3 linked regions of the Lepisosteus oculatus genome follow. The protein of the gene in region 1 purifies or fractionates together with the protein of each later gene. This does not show direct contact. Links are inferred from orthologs where the notes say so. Each region holds a gene or a part of one and is shown in the gene's direction. Other genes may lie near its edges. The genes, in order: tnrc6ba, ago4 and protein argonaute-3.

Region 1 (7,153 bases):
GACGTTCTCCACCTCCATCGCAGGCGCCTCTCTCCTGAAAGACTCCCCCCTTCCCCACACATCTGCACACATGCCCAAGACCAGAAGCGAGAGCTTTCACGTTCATCTGGAACTTTATTGGTAATATTTTTAATTTGACAACATTTCCGGGGAAAAAAAGACACAGTCAAAAACAAAAACGTAGAAAAATACAAAACCCAGGACAGGCAGTGACCTTGCCCAGTCCGGGGGGAAGGAACGCTGAGAACATCGCGGTGTGACCTCTGACCTCTGACCCCTAGTCCTCGCAGAGGGAGTACAGCAGCTCAATCTGCTCCGCGTACTCGAACCCTGTGCTGTGGAGGGCAGCAAAGAGAAACTTACTGGAGCAGTATCTCACCTGGGATTCGAACCCACAACCTTCCAGAGTAGGGTCCAGTTTAGAGATCATGTCACAGTCCCCTGCAGCCCTCATGAGCCACACCTGACCCTTCCTGACGTCAAATAAAAAAACATCGCTAAATTGATCAAAACGGGCATCGTAAAACCTGCTGGCCTGCGGGTCCCAGTGGTCTGCTGGTCACCCCTGACTGCGGCGTCTCCATCTCACAGGTACACGTTTAGAACTGAACTCTGCGTTACCGGTGGTAACAGACATGTTAGCTGTGGTAAGAATAGGATGGTGATTAACACACAGGCCAGCTCTTGTCCCAGGAAACTGGGGGCTGTCCATGAGCACCAGGACACTGATCAGATGGGAGACAGAGTTAGAGGTATGAATGGCAAGGAACTTGTTAGATCAGTCAAGGCGCCAGTCGCCCCAGGAAGGCGGGAGGGTGTGGGATCCAGCAGCAGTGGGGGTCACCAGGACCGGACTGGGAACGCCGGGGAAAAAACGTCTCCCTGCCGCCCGCGCCACACTCACCGGCCCGGCGTCTCGAGGATCATGGGGATGCCGTCCAGGCGCGGCTCGTTGACCAGCTCTCGGAACGCTGCCAGGCCGATCTGGCCGCGCCCAATGTCCTCGTGGCGGTCCAGATGACACCCCAGCTTTCCTGGAACGCCAGCAGAGGGAGGGGGGGGGACACAGATTTGGGGCGCGATGCGGTGACTTGTTTGAGCTCCAGTTGCCCTGCATTTCCACTCCCTACCACTAGAGGCCACTTTCACAGAGGAGCTGGAGCCTATCCCAGCAAGCACCAGGCGCAGAACGGGGTACATCCTGGACAGGACGCCAGTCCATCAGGGCACACACAGACACAGACCAGGGCCAGTTAACCTACCAGCCTGGCTTTTGTGGACTGTGGGAAGAAAGAGGAGCAAACACAAAGAGAACATACAAACTCCACCCAGACAGCACCCCAGGAATTGAACCCAGGGCCCCAGCACTGTGAGGAAGCAACGCTAACCATTGCATTACCTTGCTGACCTCCAATAACTACAGTGAACTTTTGCAGGATAGAGCTTCAGTGCCCCCTAGTGGCAAGCAGTTGAAATGCAGGGAGCCAAAGGAGTGACCTCCCAGCTCCCCAGTCAAACCTCACGCTCACCTTGGAGGTCAAGGGGCAGGGGGGGTGGAGCGTGAGATCACCCCAGTTCGGGACCCTGAGGGCCACGGACAAGCAGATTTCTGGGCCCTTGGTTTAAGGTGCAGAGAAGGGCTCAATTCAGGTCTGGCGTTAACATGAACTCTTTCCACAGTCACACCCCAGAACATTACGCGTTCCCAGGCTGGGATAGTCTGGAGCCCCCGGAGTCCCACTGGGCTGTGGCCCTGGAGGGCCAGAGCCGGTCTCGGGGACGAGAGAGCCGTGCGCACGCAGAGACAGGGACAGACGGGGACACGAGACTCACCTTTGGAGTCGTTGAGGTGAAGAGCTCTGAGATACGACAGCCCCACCACAGAGTCAAACTCATCCAGAACCTTCTTTATCCCTCCGGCCGCAGAAATGTCATAGCCTGGAGACAGAGAGAGAGAGAGGGGCAGAGAGAGAGGGAGGGAGGGAGGGAGAGGGGTGTGGGATGGAGAGAAGATGAGTTCAGACGCTCTGAGACTCAAAGGCACAGAGAGAGGAAGTGCAGACAGCGTGGGTCCCGGCTAGAGGAATTGTGGGAAATGAAGGGGAGGGAGAGGGTGGCGAGGCACAGAGCAAGGGAAGGGATCGGCCCCGTCAGGCCCCCTCACCCGCGGCGAAGGCGTGGCAGGTGTCCAGACACACCCCCACTCTGCTCTTGTCCCGAACCCGCTCGATGATCCCGCGCAGCTCGGAGAACTGGCCGCCCACCGTGCTGCCCTGCCCACTCATGTTCTCCAGCACTGCGGAGGCACAGAGCCGGGAGAGATCAGGCCTCGCTGGCCCTGGCATTGTCAGTGTGTGTGTGAGGCTGTCTCTGTGTGCACCGGTCAGTGTGTGTGTGAGGGAGAGTCTGTGTGTACTGGTCAGTGTGTGTGTGTGTGTGTGTGTGTGTGAGGGTGTGTCTGCGGACCAGTCAGTGTGTGTGTGAGGGTATCTGTGTGCAGCAGTCAGTGTGTGTGTGAGGGTGTGTCTGCGCACCAGTCAGTGTGTGTGTGAGGGTGTTTCTGTGCACCAGTCAGTGTGTGTGTGAGGGTCAGTCTGTGGACCAGTCAGTGTGTGTGCGAGGGTGTGTCTGTGTGCACCAGTCAGTGTGTGTGCGAGGGTGTGTCTGTGTGCACCAGTCAGTGTGTGTGTGAGGGTGTGTCTGTGTGCACCGGTCAGTGTGTGTGTGAGGGTGTGTCTGTGTGCACCGGTCAGTGTGTGTGTGAGGGTGTGTCTGCGCACCAGTCAGTGTGTGTGTGAGGGTGTGTCTGTGCACCGGTCAGTGTGTGTGTGAGGGAGAGTCTGTGCACCGGTCAGTGTGTGTGAGGGAGAGTCTGTGCACCGGTCAGTGTGTGTGAGGGTGTGTCTGTGTGCACCGGTCAGTGTGTGTGCGAGGGTGTGTCTGTGTGCACCAGTCAGTGTGTGTGCGAGGGTGTGTCTGTGTGCACCAGTCAGTGTGTGTGTGAGGGTGTGTCTGTGTGCACCGGTCAGTGTGTGTGTGAGGGTGTGTCTGTGTGCACCGGTCAGTGTGTGTGTGAGGGTGTGTCTGCGCACCAGTCAGTGTGTGTGTGAGGGTGTGTCTGTGCACCGGTCAGTGTGTGTGTGAGGGAGAGTCTGTGCACCGGTCAGTGTGTGTGAGGGAGAGTCTGTGCACCGGTCAGTGTGTGTGAGGGTGTGTCTGTGTGCACCGGTCAGTGTGTGTGTGAGGGTGTGTCTGCGCACCAGTCAGTGTGTGTGTGAGGGTGTGTCTGCGCACCAGTCAGTGTGTGTGTGAGGGTGTGTCTGTGCACCGGTCAGTGTGTGTGTGAGGGTGTGTCTGTGTGCACCGGTCAGTGTGTGTGAGGGTGTGTCTGTGTGCACCGGTCAGTGTGTGTGTGAGGGTGTGTCTGTGCACCGGTCAGTGTGTGTGTGAGGGTGTGTCTGTGTGCACCGGTCAGTGTGTGTGAGGGTGTGTCTGTGTGCACCGGTCAGTGTGTGTGTGAGGGTGTGTCTGCGCACCAGTCAGTGTGTGTGTGAGGGTGTGTCTGCGCACCAGTCAGTGTGTGTGTGAGGGTGTGTCTGTGCACCGGTCAGTGTGTGTGTGAGGGTGTGTCTGTGTGCACCGGTCAGTGTGTGTGAGGGTGTGTCTGTGTGCACCGGTCAGTGTGTGTGTGAGGGTGTGTCTGTGCACCGGTCAGTGTGTGTGTGAGGGTGTGTCTGTGTGCACCGGTCAGTGTGTGTGAGGGTGTGTCTGTGTGCACCGGTCAGTGTGTGTGAGGGTGTGTCTGTGTGCACCGGTCAGTGTGTGTGTGAGGGTGTGTCTGTGTGCACCGGTCAGTGTGTGTGAGGGTGTGTCTGTGTGCACCGGTCAGTGTGTGTGAGGGTGTGTCTGTGTGCACCGGTCAGTGTGTGTGAAGGGTCTGCAGGCCCAGCTCACCCGTCATGACAGCAGGCACCTGGCGGTGGGCGTGGTCTATCGCCTCGGCGATGCGCTGGATGCACTGGTCAGTGGTGATGTCACCCAGGGACGCCCCGGGGTGCAGGTTAAACATGGAGAGGCCCAGCTGAGCACAGCGCGACAGCTCGTCCACCAGCAGGACCCTGCTCTTATCACACACATCTGGACAGAGAGAGAGAGAGACAGGTCACAGCTCTTCACACACAGCTGGACAGAGAGAGAGACAGGTCACAGCTCTTCACACACATCTGGACAGAGAGAGAGAGATCTTTTTGATCTGGCAGCCCAGTATGTGATCTCCTGTCACAGCCTGAGGAACAGTGAGTCCGTCTCCCAATAATGCTCCAGCCGCCTACAGTATATGTCAATATTATATAATATGTCTTTGTTGTAAATGTCTGTAACATGTCTGTAGATTTTATTTTACTTCTATTTTTTGTTTTGTTCTATGTTAATTTTATTATTTTTATTTGCTTTGGCAACACTGATTGTACCTATCGGTCATGCTAATAAAGCACCTTGAATTGAATTGAATTGAATTGAGAGACAGGTCACAGCTCTTCACATACAGCTGGACAGAGAGACAGGTCACAGATCTCACACACATCTGGACAGAGAGAGACAGGTCACAGATCTCACACACAGCTGGACAGAGAGAGAGACAGGTCACAGATCTGGACAGAGAGACACACCAGTAGAGTTGGAATGGGGGCACTGCTCACGCACCTTGCTTGGGCGAGCCACAGTTCATCAGGTAGGAGCCGTGAGGCAGAATGAAGGCGGGCTCGACCCCGTGTTCGCGGCAGGCCTCCCGGAACCTGGCCGCCGCCTTCTCGTCCAGGGGGGGGCGCTGCCACGAGCGCTGGGAGCCCAGGAACATGGCGAAAGAGCGCCCCCCCAAGGACACACACTCCTCCACCGCCTTCCAGATGCCCCCTGCACAGGGCGAGAGGGCGAGAGGCAACGCTTGTGGGCTGAGACCTGCTCACCCCCAAGAGCCCGCCAGGTGTCACCCCTGTCCACAGAGGCCTGAGGAATCCGTCCAAGATCCTGGAAATATCCCGGGCGCGCCTGAGAAGTGTCCTGTCTCTCCCACCCGTGGGTGTGTCTGAGACGTGTCCTGTCTCTCCCACCCGTGGGCGTGTCTGAGAGGTGTCTTGTCTCTCCCACCTGTGGGCGTGTCTGAGACATGTCCGAGACATGTCCTATCTCTCCCACCCGTGGGTGTGTCTGAGACGTGTCCTGTCTCTCCCACCCGTGGGTGTGTCTGAGAAGTGTCCTGTCTCTCCCACCCGTGGGTGTGTCTGAGACATGTCCTATCTCTCCCACCCATGGGCGTGTCTGAGACGTGTCGTCTCTCCCACCCCTGTGCGCGTCTGAGAAGTGTCTTGTCTCTCCCACCCGTGGGCGTGTCTGAGAGGTGTCTTGTCTCTCCCACCCGTGGGCGTGTCTGAGAAGTGTCCTGTCTCTCCCACCCCTGGGCGTGTCTGAGAAGTGTCCTGTCTCTCCCACCCGTGGGCGCGTCTGAGAAGTGTCCTGTCTCTCCCACCCCTGGGCGTGTCTGATATAATGTTGCTATGGATGTAGGGACATGCGAGTCTCCCCACACCTGTGGGCATGGCTGACAGTGCCACTCCTACTATGGGCGTGTCTAATGCAATGCCCCTCCCGTTGAGGGTGTGCCCTAATATAGTCTCATTCCCAGCCATATCTGATTAACTAGCAGGAGCTCTTTAACCGGAAATAAGAGCCAGCAAATTCAGGAACAACTGAGTGACACTCCGTGCACAGTCAGCTGCAAACAGTGAGCTTGAATGTGGGCATTTGGGCATTCAGGACTGACCAAAGAAACAAGCTGAATTCAAGTCCTAACAAGCCAGCAGATCAGTTCGTACCCCAGTTCATGCTGGAATGAGCACCAGCAGTGTTCCTCCAGGACCAGGACACAGAGAACTGGGGTCCAGTCTGCTGGACTCACTGGACGGCCTCAGTCTCAGACTGCCAGCAGACTGGTTGGTCAGCTCATCACTGTTGACCGAGACCACCCTCTGCTCAGATCTGCCCATAAGGGCAGAGCCTGTGGGGGCAGGTGGAGTTTGCCCCAGCTGTGCAGCTGTGTTCATTTTGGGAGCTTTAGTAATGATCTGTAACTGCTGGGGCAGCTTACATGACAATGTCCCAGAGGGCTTTGCAAAACCAGAGCAGGACAACAGCAAAGACACCCGAGACAGGTGTACTCACACGTCCTAGAGACTTTCCCAGAACAGCTCGAGAGAGCACTTGCCCTCCTTTCGTTTGAAGCCTTTCTTATGCTCTTCGATAAACAAAACACTAATAAAAATAACTAAAAGGCGGTTTTAAAGACGGCGTGCGGACATGCTGACAGATGTGCAGACAAGGCAACAGCTGCAGGCAGATCGCCGCTTCTCTGCTGCTTTCCTGGAGATACAGGGACAGGGAACAGTGTCCACGCGACAGAATGTGGAAAAAACACGTTGATTTCGCATTAGCCGCAGGGCGACACAGTCACAGATGCCCGCCCCTACGAAACAAGCACACGACCCACAGGGTGAATTCACATCCGTGGGTGTGTTAGCAAGGTCATCAACTGCTCCGTCCTGCGTGTTACAGGTGGGTGTATTGTCCACGGTGCGTGCCGGGATACCTGCTATGGACACGTGCGCCCCGATAAACTTCTTCTCCCTTCCTCCCTGCGCTCGCGCCACCCTCTTCTTCGCCCCCTCCTGCCCCGGGGGCTGCGAGCGCCGGCCCTCCCCTCCAGCCTGCGCGCTCGTCTCCACCGCCGCCGTCTCCGGCTCCGTCCTCCGCTTCCTCGGCCCCATCGCCGCCAGCCCTGCGGGGCGAGGAGACAGCCGGCTCACCCCCTGCACGGACTGACAGACAGACAAGACACCGCCCCCCCCAGGACCACCTCTGAAAACTCAGCTTGTGCTCATCGGCCCCAGCAGACACCTGCGCGCCCAGAGACGGAGCCGTGCTCTAACGGCACTCGGTGTGTTTTTCTGCTGGAGTCCCGCATGCTGTCTGACGCAGCACCGGCATTTCTTTCAGGCATGCTTTGCGATTTATCGCGGCGCTGCTCGGGTGTGTGCAAGCGGCCCGTGGCGTTGCACAAACTTGGGAGAGCTCGGGTTTGGAATCCGCTCAGAGTGACAGC
Region 2 (7,745 bases), on another chromosome or scaffold:
AAGTACCAGGTAAAGATTTATTCCAGGCTGAAAGAAAAAGGACAGAGAATGTTTTGGCTGTGGACACTTCTTCAGGTGTCACAGATGTCCACACCTGAAGGCTCCATAGCCAAAACATTGCATCTCTTCTTTTCCTTTCAGCCTGGCATTGACCTTTTCCTGTTTACATTAAAATACCTAGGACTGATTAAACAAAGTTATTATACTTTTGTGTCTGTGCTTAATTTGGTTTCTTGATTTAAAATATCTGGCACATCTCACACCCCCAGGAGGGACGGCTGCACCCCAGGTGAAGAAGCACTGCTAGACAGTCAGCAACAGGGAGAGACAGGCTCTTACCTCGTACGAGTCTCTGGCTTTCGCTGTGCAGCTGTTTCATGGCCTCTTTGCTGGCCCGGGCTGCTTTCCTCTCCTGACAGAGAGGAGAGGACAGAAACGCACAGGAATCAGACACCGAGCAACAGAAGCAGCGTTCTACAACAAGAACGCAAAGTTCAAAGGTCACCTCACCTTCCGCTCTGGTTGACACACCCCCTCAGCCTCCTCCTTTTCCCTCCCGGCTCTCTCCTGGGGACAGGAAAAACACGTCTGTACACAAACCTCAATCTGCCGAGACAAAGTGCTCGAGACCCGCTTGGACAATAAAATGCTGGACCCTGCTTTACAGAAGAGCATTAGACACTTTTGCCAGCACTAAAGGACTCTGTGACTAAAGTCAAACGTGCAGAAGTGAAAAGAGGTTTAACTCCTCATTTCCCCCAACACAGCAGTGCAGACAAGAGTCCTGCAGTCGCCATGTCATGACCTCTGCTCACCTTATGCTTCTTCACCTTGTTTTTCATCGCTGCTCTGATGGCATCCAGGGACTCCTCCTCTTCCTCCCCCACACCTGTGTCAAACAGGTCACTGTCTCTGAGGAGGCAGCCACTGTCATTAAAGGAGGGGGGAGCAGTGGGCTCCTAGATTAGGGAGAGAGTGAAGTGGTTGCTGTCCTAATGTTGGCCTTGTTTAGCGAATCAGCCACACACCCCACCCAAACCTCACTGATGCCCCATCCAGTTAAATCCACATTCAAACTGTGCAGTCACAGAACCGATATAAGCTTACACATCACATGACACTCATTCAGAAGTATTTTAAAATAAGCACAAAAAGTTAACATAAAAACCTGTCCAACAATCAGTGACTAGACAATTTAAGAACATGCAGTGTATTTAAAATGTTTCTGTGGACCAGGATAAATTAAGACTGCAGAACAGCCAAAGACATTCAATATTTTTGTTAACTATGAAGTCTGCTGAGCAGCTCTCCCCTGACACAGCACTGACAGCCAACCGGGCAAGCAGGACAAAGCTGGCTGGAGCACTACCTGTCTGACGCAGGCACACCTGTGCTCGCCGCCCTTCCAGGCCCAGGGCTGCATCTTCCCAGCTGCGCCCTGTACGTACCTCTTTCCTCCTGTTCCTCTTCGCTCTCGGCGCAGCCTCTGCCCTCCTCTTGTCCTTCTCCCGGCAATGCTCGGACCTCTCCTCCCGCTTCACCGTCTCCCCAGCAGGGGACTCTCCCTGTGCCTTGCCGGCCTGCCTGTCCGTCTCCGCCTCGCTGTCCTCACTGTCCCAGGCGGCCTGCGCCACCCTCCTCGTCCGCTGTCCTGTCCTCCCGCCTCCTCCCTCCTGCCTCTCCTCCTCGCTGGACTCCGACAGGGCAAGAGCCTCGGCCGGCCCCCCTCCCTCCTCGGCCTCGCTGTCGCTGTCGCTCAGGGCCGTCCTGCCGCGCGGCTTCCTCTTCACAGCCACCTCGCCGTCCGAGTCTGGAACACAAGACGTCTTTGACACGGACCTTCCGAGGCGACGCACACGAGACACTCGCTTCCGAACGGTCCGGACCATCGTCAAACTGCTCAGTTATGAGACACAGGGTAACTGTACAAATCCCCCCTGCGGAGCAGGCAGAGCCTCAGGAGGTTCAGAGTGACCCCACTGCAGAGCCCTCAGAGCTCTGTGGCGTTATACCCCCGGCCCCGCTGACCTTGGTCCTCGCTGCTCTCAGCCATCGCTGGGGCGCCCCCCGTGGGCACAGGGGGGCTCAGGTCGCAGCTGCCCTTTCCGCTGTCGGAGTCGCTCTCCTCCACGGGAAGCACGTCCGGCGCCTGGAGAGAAAACGGGTGGCCGTTACCTACGGGCACGACGGCACAGCGCAGCGTCACCACAGACGGGTCCCGAGGACGTGGGGTAGCATCTGTATCGAGCATCGCTATAGTTAGACATGATTTACTGCAGATTGACTTCACTGCAATACATCAACAGGATGGCTTACAGTTACAACACCGCACAGCTGGAGAAACCTGAACACTGACCGGCTGGCGGTGACACAGCCGAGTTCGGCTACACAAGAAAGGTTATAATCGAGCACAGCCATTCCTCCCATCTGGCCGATGGGCTTACTGCCCCTGTGATCCCATGGAAACCGCCCTGGGGGTCTGCTCTGAGCTCTGCGAGTGGAGGACAGTGCCTCCAGCCGGCAGTGCGACACTCCAGAGAAGGAGCAGCTCATATCTGCAGCAACAGCTCGGTGGGCTAACAACACCCAGCGACTGGGCCCATGATCAGACCCGAGGTCCCGACTGCTCGGAAGAAACTCGCGTCGGGCCCTGTACAGTCTGACCGCCCTGGCAGACCCCGGACTGAAACGGCAGCGCACCAGCCGAGACACAGGCCGAGTGGCGAAGCAGGAGCCCCCGCTATGAACCCCGCTCGCACGTTGAACCACCGGACCGCGAGAGCGGAGCAGCGCGCCCCCCAGCGGCCGGGCCGGGAGCCAGCCGAGGCGGCAGAGAGCCGCTGCCACGAAAAGCTCAGCAACCAAAACAAACCGCAGACTTTCCTCCCGAGGCCCGGAGAACACACCCCGGGTCAGACGGCTCGGTTCCGCTGGCGGTGCTGCTGCGGCCCGTCCAGCCCGCCCGGACCCAGCCCTCTCGGAGGCCGGACAGCCGCACAGCAGCACACAGCCCCCCCAGAGCACGAACCGCGGGTCTTTACGAACACTTCGCCACCGTGACTAAAACAGCACAAACCTGCTGGGACACGGCCGCACTCATGGCGACGGGCTCTTTTCCGCTTACACTCGACAACACAGACTCATGAAAACGCACGCAAGGCCACGTCCACTTTCTCGCCCTCCTTGACAAACTATTTAAACAGTTAAAATAAACCAGATAAACAGATGAGATCTAATCCGCAACAGTAACAACTCGTAGCTGCCCGCCTGCTTCTCCCTCCCGCGCGCTCTCTCAGAAAGGACTTTCAACCGCTCGCGCGCCCAGGGCGCCATCCCGCCCCTCGCCCCCTCCTCTCCCTCCTGACTGGGCTGTCGGCCGTCAATCCCGCCTCGCACCCGCCCACCTCGGCAGACTTATTCCACCTCGGGGGCTGCCGACGCTCCCAGCCACGCCTCACGCAAGTGACGGACAGCAGCAGGGACCAATAGCGAGTCGCAGTGCACTCGGGGGTCTGATTGGAAAGCTTGGTTTTGTGTAGTTTTTCTTGGAATCACAAATACAGTAATGCTAAAGAACTGTGAATTAAATAAAAATATTCTCTTTCTAAAATAAAGCAAAAATAAGCAATCACCTTATTTTAAATAAAAATATAGATGTGAATTTTATCCCCCCCCTCACTTTGTATTGGGTAAGCTTAACGGTAGCTCACAATATTTATTGCAGTTTTGTTAAAACAATACTCAGCCCCTTTGATTCCGGATACTCTGAGACAAAACAGGATTTCAACGTTGCCCTGAAACTGAACCTCATTAAAATGTAAACAGCGCTGAAACTTTTAACTATTTGTACTAAATGACCACCGACTGCGTGACAATACGGTGGTTTTAAAGTAATTTATAAGAATAAAAAGCATGTCATATTTTTTCAATTTAATTTAAAAATCTTTTCTGGCAGACGCCCTTAATTTGTACATTACAATGAGGATTAAATAAATAAGAAGTGCAAATTATACTTTATAAACCTGCTGGTTTTACCTGAGCTGCTGTGGGACAGGGCTGCAGCTACAGGACGGCTGTTGCAGAGCAGAGCAAACAGCCACGTTAACAGGAGTAAAACAATACAGATCACTGACGAATGTGACGATTTCACAGACACCCACACATTTTGGAACCTGAATGAAAAGTATAAGCTGTAGCATGATACACTCCGTTTTCTCCCTGTGCTCCCCAGATGCATGTCGATATAAACGCGTTTTCTCCTCTGTGACTCCCCGGACCCCAGCACGCTGAGCAGCCCAGGCTCTGACAGAGCTCCGCACAAGAGATACTGTGAGCGCGGGACAAGGCTTTTCAACGGCGTTGGTAAAAACGGAGCTGAAATGCTGCCAGTTTACGGAGATGTCAGACCTTTCAATTAACTGCGCTGCCCCCTCTAGCGGCCGGTATGATAACTTCCTGCTTCCTCCCTGGTAGAATTATTTATAAAAACCGCGGGTAAACCGCTGACAGGCTAACCAAAGCCTCATCCAACGGGAGACGAATTCTCCATGTACTATGCTGCCCAAATAGATGTCGATAACCAAACCCCCGGGAGTCCACAGCCGCCTGTGCTGCCCGTCTCCGTGCGCTCAGTTTAAATCCCCGGACGGCGCAGGCGCACAGCAGGGGCAGCGCTCGGCGCGCAGGCGCACTGCCGCACTCCCCGGATCCGCTTTAAACCGAGCGGCGACAGCGGACCTCAGTTTCTCAGAGTGGACCCTCTCAGCTTCGCGATACCGCCCCCAATCTCAGTGTCGGTACGGAGCCGCCAGGCCGGGACAGAGACGGAGAGAGAGCCCTCGGCCATGGAAGCGCTCGGACCCGGTGAGAAGAGGCGCTGGCAGGCCCGGCAGGGCAGGAGCGGGGGGCCCGGGTCGCTCGCTCACTGGGGGCCGGGGATTGCGAGGCCTCCGCGGGCGATCGGGAAGACGGAAGGAAGAGCGAGGTCGGGAGGTTAACCACACGGCACGGGGTGTTGCCTGCAGGGCTCTGTCCCTCACGGAGGGCTGGTGTCCGGTGTGGCCGTGTGCCGCAGCCCCGGGTCGCGCTTGGAGCGAAACGTCAGGAGCGCCTTTCCGCGTCTTCCGCGTCTGTTGTTGTTGTCGTGCTCAGCCTGCGGGCTGCGGCGGGTCCGAGAGCGAAGGCGGCGGAGCTTCGTGTCGGTTTGCGAGAGCGGATTTCAGCTTCTCTGTCCGTCTGGTTTCGTCCACCACGGTGGAGCCCGGAGCCTCGGTCCCTGTGCTTGCAGCTGTCCCGGAGCTCTGCGTGATCCAGCTGTCGGGTGTCTGTCGCTCGCTGCCGGCCGGAGCGGTGGCACAGTCCGGTCTCTCTGCTCGCTGACCAGCACGTTTACGGCGTCTTTGCGGTGTCTGTATCGGGATGTGCAGCCTCACCGAAGCCCGAGTGGGGTTTAAACTACGGGAAAGTGCGGTTTATGTGCCTCTGCGTGGAATAATCCTCTTATTGATGTATGTAGAAATCCCCGATAATGTTAGGAAGAATTTTAAAAGTAGTTTACCTAATATATGTATCAATAAGTACGAAAGTGATTTAATAGCTTAAGTGTTTTAAATTGTTGTTTAACTCAAAGCTATTGTACCTTTTAAAATAAGTTATCCGGGGTAAAAAATGCTTCCCACATGGGAATTGTGGTACATAAAAGGGCAGTGGCTGGGATTCTGGTGTCCTGCAAATGTGTACAGTCGGTGTTTTTTCAGGATTTGCTTGTAATTCATAAGAAGGGCACTATCTGTGGACTAGTAACCCCTTGTCTTCTGGAGTAAAGATTCTTTCCTGGGCCAGGCAATGGAAGTATTATTATTATTCCTGTATATAGCAGACCCCTTCATTCAGTGTGAATGGCAAACTGGAAAGTTTACTTGTTAATACGAGGAACAGTCGTGCAGCTGCGTGTCCAGTCTGCTCCTCTCCTGACGGGCGAAGGCAGCCGTAGGGGTGAAACTGCACAGGCTCTGGGGATGCAGGGTGGTAACTTATGCACCTACTGGGTGCTTACAGCTTGTCTGCAGTGATTAAATGCAGTTGGTACGTTGCATTACTATTTTGAGAATTAAGCCCTTGTAGTTCAGTCCCCATGTCTGTATAGCATGCATCATCACAATGGGTCTTGGAGAGCTGGGGTGCTGCATCGCCCTGTAGACACAGAACAGCAGCAGCCCCCTTACGCAGCAGAGCAGGGGCAGAGAGAAACTGGGAACCAGTGGGGAGGTTAGGTTGTCTGAGCCCAGTTTGGGATTAACACCCTTACAGACAGCCTCGGGACCCATGTAGATTTTGGCTTAACTCTTGCTGAAGGGAGGGCACCTCATGCAAAGGTGATGAGGGGCTGAGGGGAAAGGGAGGCTGGCGCCTGGGATCTGGTAGAGAAGAGATGCATGGGGTCTGCTGGAAGAAGAGCATCGAGTCCAGGAGGAGGTGAAAGGCATATAAATAGTGAACATGAGAAACTCTGCGTCCTTCGCGTTGAGTGTGAAAGACCATGACAGGAGGTGAGGACCTGGGGAATGAGTGTAGAGAGGAGAGCGGAGACCCAGGACAGAATCCCAGGATCCACAGGGAGCGCACCGGTGGACAGAGCGAGTCCAGCCAGGGCTGTAGATCCCCACGGATCCGCAGGGAGCTCTCTGACCCGCCTGGACATGCCTTGATTTACAGGTTCATAGGACAGGGCTAGGCTGCTCTGTGTAGCCTTATTCTATGACCTGTGCGGTGTTGCTGCTGAGCTCTTGATATCCTCAGACATCCTGCAGCTCTTTCACTCTCGGTGTTGTCTTTTCCTTGTGGCAGGCAGGGCCTCTGTCCTGTCGCAAATTCGTCATTAATCCCATCTGCCTTGCAGGTGTTCTTAAACCCCTCTTTCCAGTCTGATTATTGACTGATCACTGCCAAGACATTGACTCCTCAGTGCAAAACACCTGTTCCCACCAGTACCTTCACACAGGTACATTCACGTGCTTTGATGGATATGTTGTTAAAAATCCATAAATGATGTTTTTCACTCATGAGCTGTGATAACATTAGGTTGGTGCTGTATTTATGAATAGAATGCTTTTGAAAGTTAAGGATGAAGTGTTCTAACCCTTCATGAACACAGTCTGAAGTGTCTTGCTTCTGTGCTGCTTTGCTGGCTGTTCTGTTCTTGATTGATTCTTCCACCTCTTGATTTGCACATCAAACTGGCCAAGTATTGAGTTGGATAATAGGGGATGGGAATACGTTTGGCCCAGTTTGAGTCCTGCTTCCACAGAATTATCATTTGAATGTTATCACGTCTAGAGTTTTCTGTACTGTAACCTTCTGTAGATTATACACCAGCATTGTAAATGACAAAGCGCTGCTCAACTACCACCCGAGAGCAGGGAGATGCTGCTGTAAGAGAGGTGAAAGTGTGGAAGAGCCAGGAGGCAGAGGAGCTGCCTCTCTGCCCGTCCGTTCAGGGAAACCAGACCCTGGATCATTCAGGGCAGCTGGGGCCCAGAGTATCAGGCCAGGTGGCCTTTGACCTGTAGATTGTTACAGTAAGACCAGGACCGCAGGTTAGCAATGTGGCTTCTTCCGGTGTTCGTCTGCCTTAGTTAAGGGTAAAGAACTGATTTTTTTCTACTTTGGGCAAACTGCCCATTGGACCCCTTTTCGAACGAAGACGCTGACCTGTTTCCTCTCTTCTAGATGGGTGGAATGGCCTC
Region 3 (7,423 bases), on another chromosome or scaffold:
CTGCCTTTCTCTTGCAGTGGGGAGGGAAGCCACATCTCCGGCCAGAGTAACGGTCGGGACCCCCAGGCCCTGGCCAAAGCCGTGCAGGTTCACCAGGACACCCTACGGACCATGTACTTCGCCTGAGCCGCGCCCTCCCAGCACACCTCACGGACCTCACTGAGCCAGAGCGGCCCGAACCCAGGGCCGTCCTCCTGAAGCACAGACTGCTGCGAGCAGCTGGACGTGGCTCCGCACTCACCAGGAAACTGTTTCTAAGACTCCGGGATTTTATTTTTTTTATATATATTATATATAGAAGTATATATATTTACACTTCCGAGTATGTATGCAATACTGAGGAAAGGAGCTGAGGTCCTTGACTGCCCACACATGCTGCCTCTGTCTGTGGACTCGCCTCCCACAGACAGCCCGTAGAGTTAGATCTGCAACGTGTTGAGGAAGTTTTTTTTACTGAAAAAAACTTTCCTTATGTTTTTATCCTTTTGTTATTGTTTTAAAATGTTTATTTTTACCCAAGGTAAGGTACAATAGCACTTGCTTGTCTTAGGCCTGCTAGGCTGTGTGTTCGCAGGGAGAGGAGGGAGGGCCGTAGGTCAGCGTGCTGTCGATTGGAGAGTGCCTTACCACAGTGCTGGGACGAGGAGAAGCAGCTGCCCGTATGGACACACTGGTGCCAGGGCCCACCTGGGGTGCTGGGACTCCTGACTCTCCCTCTGATTTGCCTGTCCCTGCTGCTCCGGAGCAAACAAACCGGTCTGCACAGGAGGGAGAGGTCAGCAGAGACCTGGATGAGCTATGTGTGCTCGCTAGCTCTGTGGAGCTGTGGAGGAAAGCCCAATGTGAACTGAGCTGTGGGTTCAAGACCTCGCAGGGCCTGCATCTTCAGCAAGTCCATCATTTCATCTGTCCACGTTCACAGTCTCCTTCTCTGTCGTCACTCAGCTTTGTGCAGCGATTCACCAGCCGGGAGCACGGTGGCTGTGGGACTGTACACAGACGCAGGCCACGCGGCAGCGTCCTCTCGAGCAGCAGCTTGGCTTCTGAAGACAGCTGAGCAACACTTCTATGCATGTCCACAGGGCACACGGGTTACAACAACGCTGACGGCGCACACTCCTCTGTTCTTCCTCGCACGCTGGTCTCGCCTGTCGAGGGCTCTCTGCGTGCCCTGCCAGACCCCTGGCACAGCGACAGTCTCTCCTCTCCGCGGCAGCTCTATTGCGCCCCGCAGGGGGCAGAGAGAGCCAGGCTGTTGCTCTTGGCTGCAGCTGCCCCCTAGAGAGAGAGGGAGCATCGTCTGTTGTCCAGCAGCTGGAGGTGTGCTGCAGTGCACGATGTTGACCCAGGGCAGCTTGACTCATAATTACAGTGTTCTGGGCCCAGTATAGACCCTCAGACAAGGACTCGTGTTTTCCAAGCGGTTTTGACAAATTCCATCCCTGTTACTGGTCCCTGTGTCTCACTGAAGCCCCAGGTGCTTTTTTTTGTTCAGTAGCATCAATTACTATGTAAATAATGAAATATAGGACCCTGCCTGCCTATGTTTAGATTTAAAATATTGTCAAAACTTCTCAGAATGCACAGATGTGGTTCTTAGTCTGACGGCATAATTTGCTCAGTTTGAACATCGGTGAATAGCGACAGACGCCCTGCCTGCAGTATCACCTGGTCTCCTCCGGGGGAGCCCCTGACCTCTTACCCAGCTATGCAGAGATGCAGAGATGCACTGTGCACTCCTTCGCCCACAGCTTGGACATCTCTTTCGCTGCTCCCTCAGCTCGGGCCCCAGCTGCTCGGGGTCAGTGCGGGATGGGGGAGTGGCCGAAGGGGAGAGACGAGAGCCGTGTCGCAGACCGGTGCCAGGATGTGTGCGAGCGCAGAGTCCAGGCTGAATCAGCAATATGCCACTGCGGACTGTAGTCCAGATATAGCACTTCCGAACAGAACCGATAGGGAATATGGAAACTAGTTCTCATGGGTCAGTATTAAATAGTGTGAAATGTTCTGGTTATTTTTTGAATAAAATGTGTGTTTTTATTATGCTTGTGTTTGTATAATTTTTCTTTAGCATTATTTTTAGACACTTCAGCTTTTATTTTTTATGCATCCTGAAAGACTGTGATCACTTAGTTTAAAGGGAGTGATATCAGGCCTTTTCTGGGCCGTGAGTTCATCTGTGTTTGAACCCAAGGCCAAGGCTGTGGAGGGCCTCGTGCTGAAAAGCTCTATACGAGTGCAAGGTATTGTTTTTCATGTTTATTATTAACTGGCGCACACAGTAGCAGATGGGCACTGTCACTGTCCACCCACACGGGGTTTCTGCCAGGTAGCTCTGTGGTTGAGGGGCATTAGGGGCATCCCTCACTGGTGCAGACGCTGCCCTAGAGAGGGGAGAGGGTGAAAGCTCCAAAATTCCTGGGGCTTCTGATTGTGACGGCTGCTTCATTTCCAGATTAATACAATGTAGTTTTGGCTATAGTTTTCATTATTTTACACAGTTCTAACCTAAACAAAGCTGATAAAAATAACTTGTTGGTAATCGCTGTATTAACTGGCCGAACTGCTTCAGAATAGTGGACTATGAAGCACAGTGGTGGCAGGCGTGTCTCCTGTGGGCCAGGCGGACTCCTCCACACTGGTTTGCGTCTGAGCACTGGGTGTCCATTACCATGACTCTTGACTAGACAAGTAGCAAATGACCAAGTGCATTCTGAAACACCTTTTTATATACCTGCTTAATTATATGGACTAGTATAAAATTGTTTTAACATTGTTTTGACCTGAAGCTTGATGCCAGCGTGGTTGTCCCCTCTGGACACTCTCTATAGTTGAGTGTAGAAAAAGGGTCTTATGTTATTGCACCACCTATTGAAGGGGCAGTGTGGACACATCCATCAGGCCTGCTTGGAAAAGGAAAGAGTAAATCAAATAAACTGCGCAGGGCAGACCCAGGGTGCTGTCTGTGTGGAGTTTGCATGTTCTCACTGGGTACATGAGGGTTTCCTCCTACATTCCTGTGGGAGACATGGAAAACTGTCCCTGGTGTGTGTGTGTGTGTGTGTGTGTGTGTGTGTCCTGTGATGGGCTGGCCCTGGTGTGTGTGTGTCTGTGAGTGTCCTGTGATGGGCTGGCCCTGGTAAGTGTGTGTTACTGCCATGGGTGGACTGGTGTCCCATCCAGGGTGTGTCCTGCCCTGTGCCCAGTGCTTGCTGGGATAGACTGGCTCCCCTGCGACTCTGGTAAGAAGGATAAAGTAATACTTCTAATTGGAATAAATTATTAACAGAACAAATTTTCAAAAGGCAGGAAATCAATTCAAAATACCTATGCTATTAAAAGCATATTTAGGGATGATGATGAACTAAAACATGCACAATTTAGAATTCAAAGCCTGTTGATCTCAACTGGCACAACTACAGAAGGTCCTAGAGACGTTAATAAAGACACAGCGAAACAGATTCTAGCGGAGCTCTATCGGTTATTTGACTTTTTCCTGTGGCGCTGACAACATAAATGAATTGATTGTGGTAAAAAAAACAAGTCCCTGTGTCCTTGCAGTCGATCCAGGACAGTACAGTCATGAAAACAGGGGGTCTCAGCCAGGAGAGACAGTGCAGTAAAAACAGCACCAGAGCTGGCCGGTGGGCAGACACACTCCAGGGGCAGGAGCGGCCCCTCAGACCAGTGTCCAGGGGCAGGAGCAGCCCCTCAGACCAGCATCCAGGGGCAGGAGCGACCTCTCAGACCAGCGTCCAGGGGCAGGAGCAGCCCCTCAGACCAGCGTCCAGGGGCACGAGCAGCCCCTCAGACCAGTGTCCAGGGGCAGGAGCGGCCCCTCAGACCAGCGTCCAGGGGCAGGAGCGACCCTTCAGACCAGTGTCCAGGGGCAGGAGCGACCCCTCAGACCAGCATCCAGGGGCAGGAGCGACCCCTCAGACACACTCCAGGGGCAGGAGCGGCCCATCAGACCAGTGTCCAGGGGCAGGAGCGGCCCCTCAGACCAGTGTCCGGGGGCAGGAGCGACCCTTCAGACCAGCATCCAGGGGCAGGAGCGACCCCTCAGACCAGTGTCCAGGGGCAGGACCGACCCTTCAGACCGGTGTCCGGGGGCAGGAGCGACCCTTCAGACCGGTGTCCGGGGGCAGGAGGGGTTAACAGCGGCCCTGAGCTCAGCGGACGGCAGGCGAGCTCCCCCTGCAGGCTCCGGCAGGAACACCGTGTGGGGAGCCGGGGAACACGGGTGTGCATTATTAATACCTCTCATGAATAATGCAGACCTCGGCTCATGAATAATATGGTTTGCTCGGAAGTGACGGTGTTTCCTGCAGTTAGTGAGAGAGACGGTATTTCCTGTCAGGATTTCCCCGAGCGAGGATCACTGAGACCGGGCAGCGGACCAGCAGCACGTCGGGGAGCGACGCCTCGGTCTGCCGGGTGAGGAGCAGGGCTACTGCGGCCGCAGGGGCAGGGAAACACCGGCGGGGCAGCCGGGCTCTGTCGGCGGGGGTAGTGCGGACGCGGAGCCGGGAGAAACTGCGCCTTTCGGCTCAGACGCCGACGGAATATCGGGGAGACAATCGAGCCGCCCGTCGGGGACGTGAGAGAGGTAAATACCCCGAGGAGACCTCCTCCTGCCCGGCGGAGCCGCGGAGACCCAGCGGGACCCGAGGGCAGGGCCCCGGGCGAGCAGCGGCGCAGAGCCCGTCCACAGCGGCCGGCGCAGGGGTCCCCGGCCGCGAAGAAGCCGCCATCAGCGGACCGAGCCGCGGGGGAGCGGGCCCGTGTTCCGGGCGGAGAGTCTCCGCGGAGGACTCGGCCTCACCAGCGCGGATCGGGCCGGGCCGGACAGGACCGAGCGGAACCGAGCTGTTGGAGCTCAGACCCTGGACCTGACATTTAGGAGCCGGCGAGGAACCGGACAGAGACCTCATGAATGGAAATCGGAACTACAGGTAACTGTGCCACCGAGTGTAGGTAGGGCGCCGTGGGAGTGTGGCGTGGCTGCAGCGGAGCCGTGCTGACCTGCCCGCCCACTGTCACGGACAGGTGTCCCCTCAAGGTGTGCCTGAGCGGCGGGGCGGTGCGGTCCTGTTCTCTGTTTCTCGGGCTCCCGTCGGGGGGGGGGGAGTTTGGATCAGAACCGGGCTGAGCCGGGAGTGGGGTGTACTGTCTCTGGCTCAGGGCAGCGCTGGTTCTGTCAGGAGTGGAAGTGGAGTGTCCTGTCTGTGGCTCAGGGCAGCGCTGGGCTGTCAGGAGTGGGAGTGGGAGTGGGAGTGGGGTGTCCTGTCTGTGGCTCAGGGCAGCGCTGGGCTGTCAGGAGTGGGAGTGGGAGTGGGGTGTACTGTCTGTGGCTCAGGGCAGCGCTGGGCTGTCAGGAGTGGGAATGGGAGTGGGGTGTCCTGTCTGTGGCTCAGGGCAGCGCTGGGCTGTCAGGAGTGGGAATGGGAGTGGGGTGTTCTGTCTGTGGCTCAGGGCAGCGCTGGGCTGTCAGGAGTGGGAGTGGGAATGGGAGTGGGGTGTCCTGTCTGTGGCTCAGGGCAGCGCTGGGCTGTCGGGAGTGTGAGTGGGAGTGGGGTGTCCTGTCTGTGGCTCAGGGCAGCGCTGGGCTGTCAGGAGTGGGAGTGGGAGTGGGAATGGGAGTGGGGTGTCCTGTCTGTGGCTCAGGGCAGCGCTGGGCTGTCGGGAGTGGGAGTGGGGTGTCTTGTCTGTGGCTCAGGGCTCAGGGCCAGAGTGGGAGTGGGGTGTCCTGTCTGTGGCTCAGGGCAGCGCTGGGCTGTCAGGAGTGGGAGTGGGGTGTCCTGTCTGTGGCTCAGGGCTCAGGGCTCAGGGCAGAGTGGGATTGGGGTGTCCTGTCTGTGGCCCAGAGTCTGTGGCTCCTGCCATGAGTGGATGTGGCTGTTGCCTGCCGTGGTGTGGGAGCCTGTAGCTGGGGTGACTCCTGCTGGACTATAGGTCTGGGCCTCATCCTGAGATGCTCTTGAGCAGCTTGCTGTCCCATTGGGGACGGCGATCGCAGTCCCTGGAACCTCTCTCTGAGTCTGGGTGGTTCTGTCAGCTGTGCCTTGGCTCCAGTTTCGGTTGTCGGTTTGTTACATGAACGTGCAGGGAACCTCTCTCCTGGGTTGCTGTGGGCGTGAGGCCAGCAGTGGAGAGCTGTCACAGGGGTAAGCTGCTGTCGGAGAGGAGACTCTTGACTCTCTGCAGTCACACGGACTCAGGCTGTGGCTGAAGCGATTCGTCTGGTGGCCTGCTGGAGATCTTGGGGGGCTGGAGAGCTGGGCAGTGATCTCCTGGCCCAGTGTGGTGCCTGTTGAGTGGCTGGAGAGCAGGGCAGTGATCTCCTGGCCCAGTGTGGTGCCTGTTGAGGGGCTGGAGAGCTGGGCAGTGATCTCCTGGCCCAGTGTGGTGCCTGTTGTGGGGCTGGAGAGCTGGGCAGTGATCTCCTGGCCCAGTGTGGTGCCTGATGTGGGGCTGGAGAGCTGGGCAGTGATCTCCTGGCCCAGTGTGGTGCCTGTTGAGGGGCTGGAGAGCTGGGCAGTGATCTCCTGGCCCAGTGTGGTGCCTGTTGAGGGGCTGGAGAGCTGGGCAGTGATCTCCTGGCCCAGTGTGGTGCCTGTTGTGGGGCTGGAGAGCTGGGCAGTGATCTCCTGGCCCAGTGTGGTGCCTGTTGTGGGGCTGGAGAGCTGGGCAGTGATCTCCTGGCCCAGTGTGGTGCCTGTTGTGGGGCTGGAGAATCAGGTGCTGAGTCACTTGCCTTTCTGGGTGAGTCATTGCTGGGGCTGAGCTCAGTAACCAGTTGCTGTTGGATCACTCTGACAGGTCACTTTCTGTCCAACCAGCACTGCCTGTGGTTGTACCAACAGTAGTCTCAGGGCAGTGATGAGCCCAGATGCAGCAGGGTGAGAATAATGGTGCGTAGTCTCTAGTCATTAGTATAGAAAGATTTAAGCTGTACAAGAAATGCTTGAGTTGCCATTAAGGGTAGCAGTAATTGTAACCTCATGCAGGATAGTAGCTTGCTTCTAGCCTGTGCAGGTTTGACTCAGTCCTGTCCTCTGACGTGGTGCTGTTTCTCTGAACCTGTCCCTGTCCTACTCTTCGATCACAGCCCTTGTCCACACACTCTGACCTGCAGGCACCTGGACACGGCTGTCCAGCACACTGACCCTCATGAGGGAATATGCCCTCTGGCCCCCGGTTACTCTGCAGTGGTGAGGATTGCCAGAGCTGTCCTGACACTGCCTCACAGCTCTGTGCTGGTTGGTTCAGTGAAACGTTTTTGTATCTGACTGGAACTTTTGTTTTTATATTTGTGGTTGGCTGGTGATCTTAATATTTGCTGAAGTGAAACGCTCAGCAGCTTCCTGGGCTGGTGTGTGTACCAGAGAGTTTCTGGAATGGTTAGCGCTGTGAATCGGAG

Evidence for each region.
Region 2: the proteins of tnrc6ba (region 1) and ago4 purify together in Homo sapiens (co-immunoprecipitation; 3 studies listed by BioGRID and IntAct, with this or other methods). This does not show direct contact. The link is inferred for Lepisosteus oculatus from reciprocal best matches to the Homo sapiens genes TNRC6B and AGO4.
Region 3: the proteins of tnrc6ba (region 1) and protein argonaute-3 purify together in Homo sapiens (affinity purification with mass spectrometry; 6 studies listed by BioGRID and IntAct, with this or other methods). This does not show direct contact. The link is inferred for Lepisosteus oculatus from reciprocal best matches to the Homo sapiens genes TNRC6B and AGO3.

The regions. Positions count from the first base shown.
Region 1 is NC_090707.1:38,380,300-38,387,452, forward strand, and holds the start of tnrc6ba (trinucleotide repeat-containing gene 6B protein), read left to right. Parts: upstream 1-4,137; 5' UTR 4,138-4,295; intron 4,296-4,701; coding exon of another isoform or gene 4,702-4,911; intron 4,912-6,640; coding exon of another isoform or gene 6,641-6,818; exon of another isoform or gene 6,819-6,829; intron 6,830-7,153. Other genes in the region: probable endonuclease 4, read right to left, coding at 278-335, 905-1,034, 1,834-1,938, 2,165-2,296, 3,955-4,137, 4,702-4,911, 6,641-6,818.
Region 2 is NC_090706.1:162,862-170,606, reverse strand, and holds the start of ago4 (protein argonaute-4), read left to right. Parts: upstream 1-4,700; 5' UTR 4,701-4,844; coding exon 4,845-4,863; intron 4,864-7,745. Other genes in the region: claspin, read right to left, coding at 340-412, 511-567, 816-959, 1,449-1,810, 2,029-2,149, 3,077-3,100.
Region 3 is NC_090706.1:126,427-133,849, reverse strand, and holds the start of protein argonaute-3, read left to right. Parts: upstream 1-4,335; 5' UTR 4,336-4,936; coding exon 4,937-4,955; intron 4,956-7,423. Other genes in the region: ago1 (protein argonaute-1), read left to right, coding at 18-126.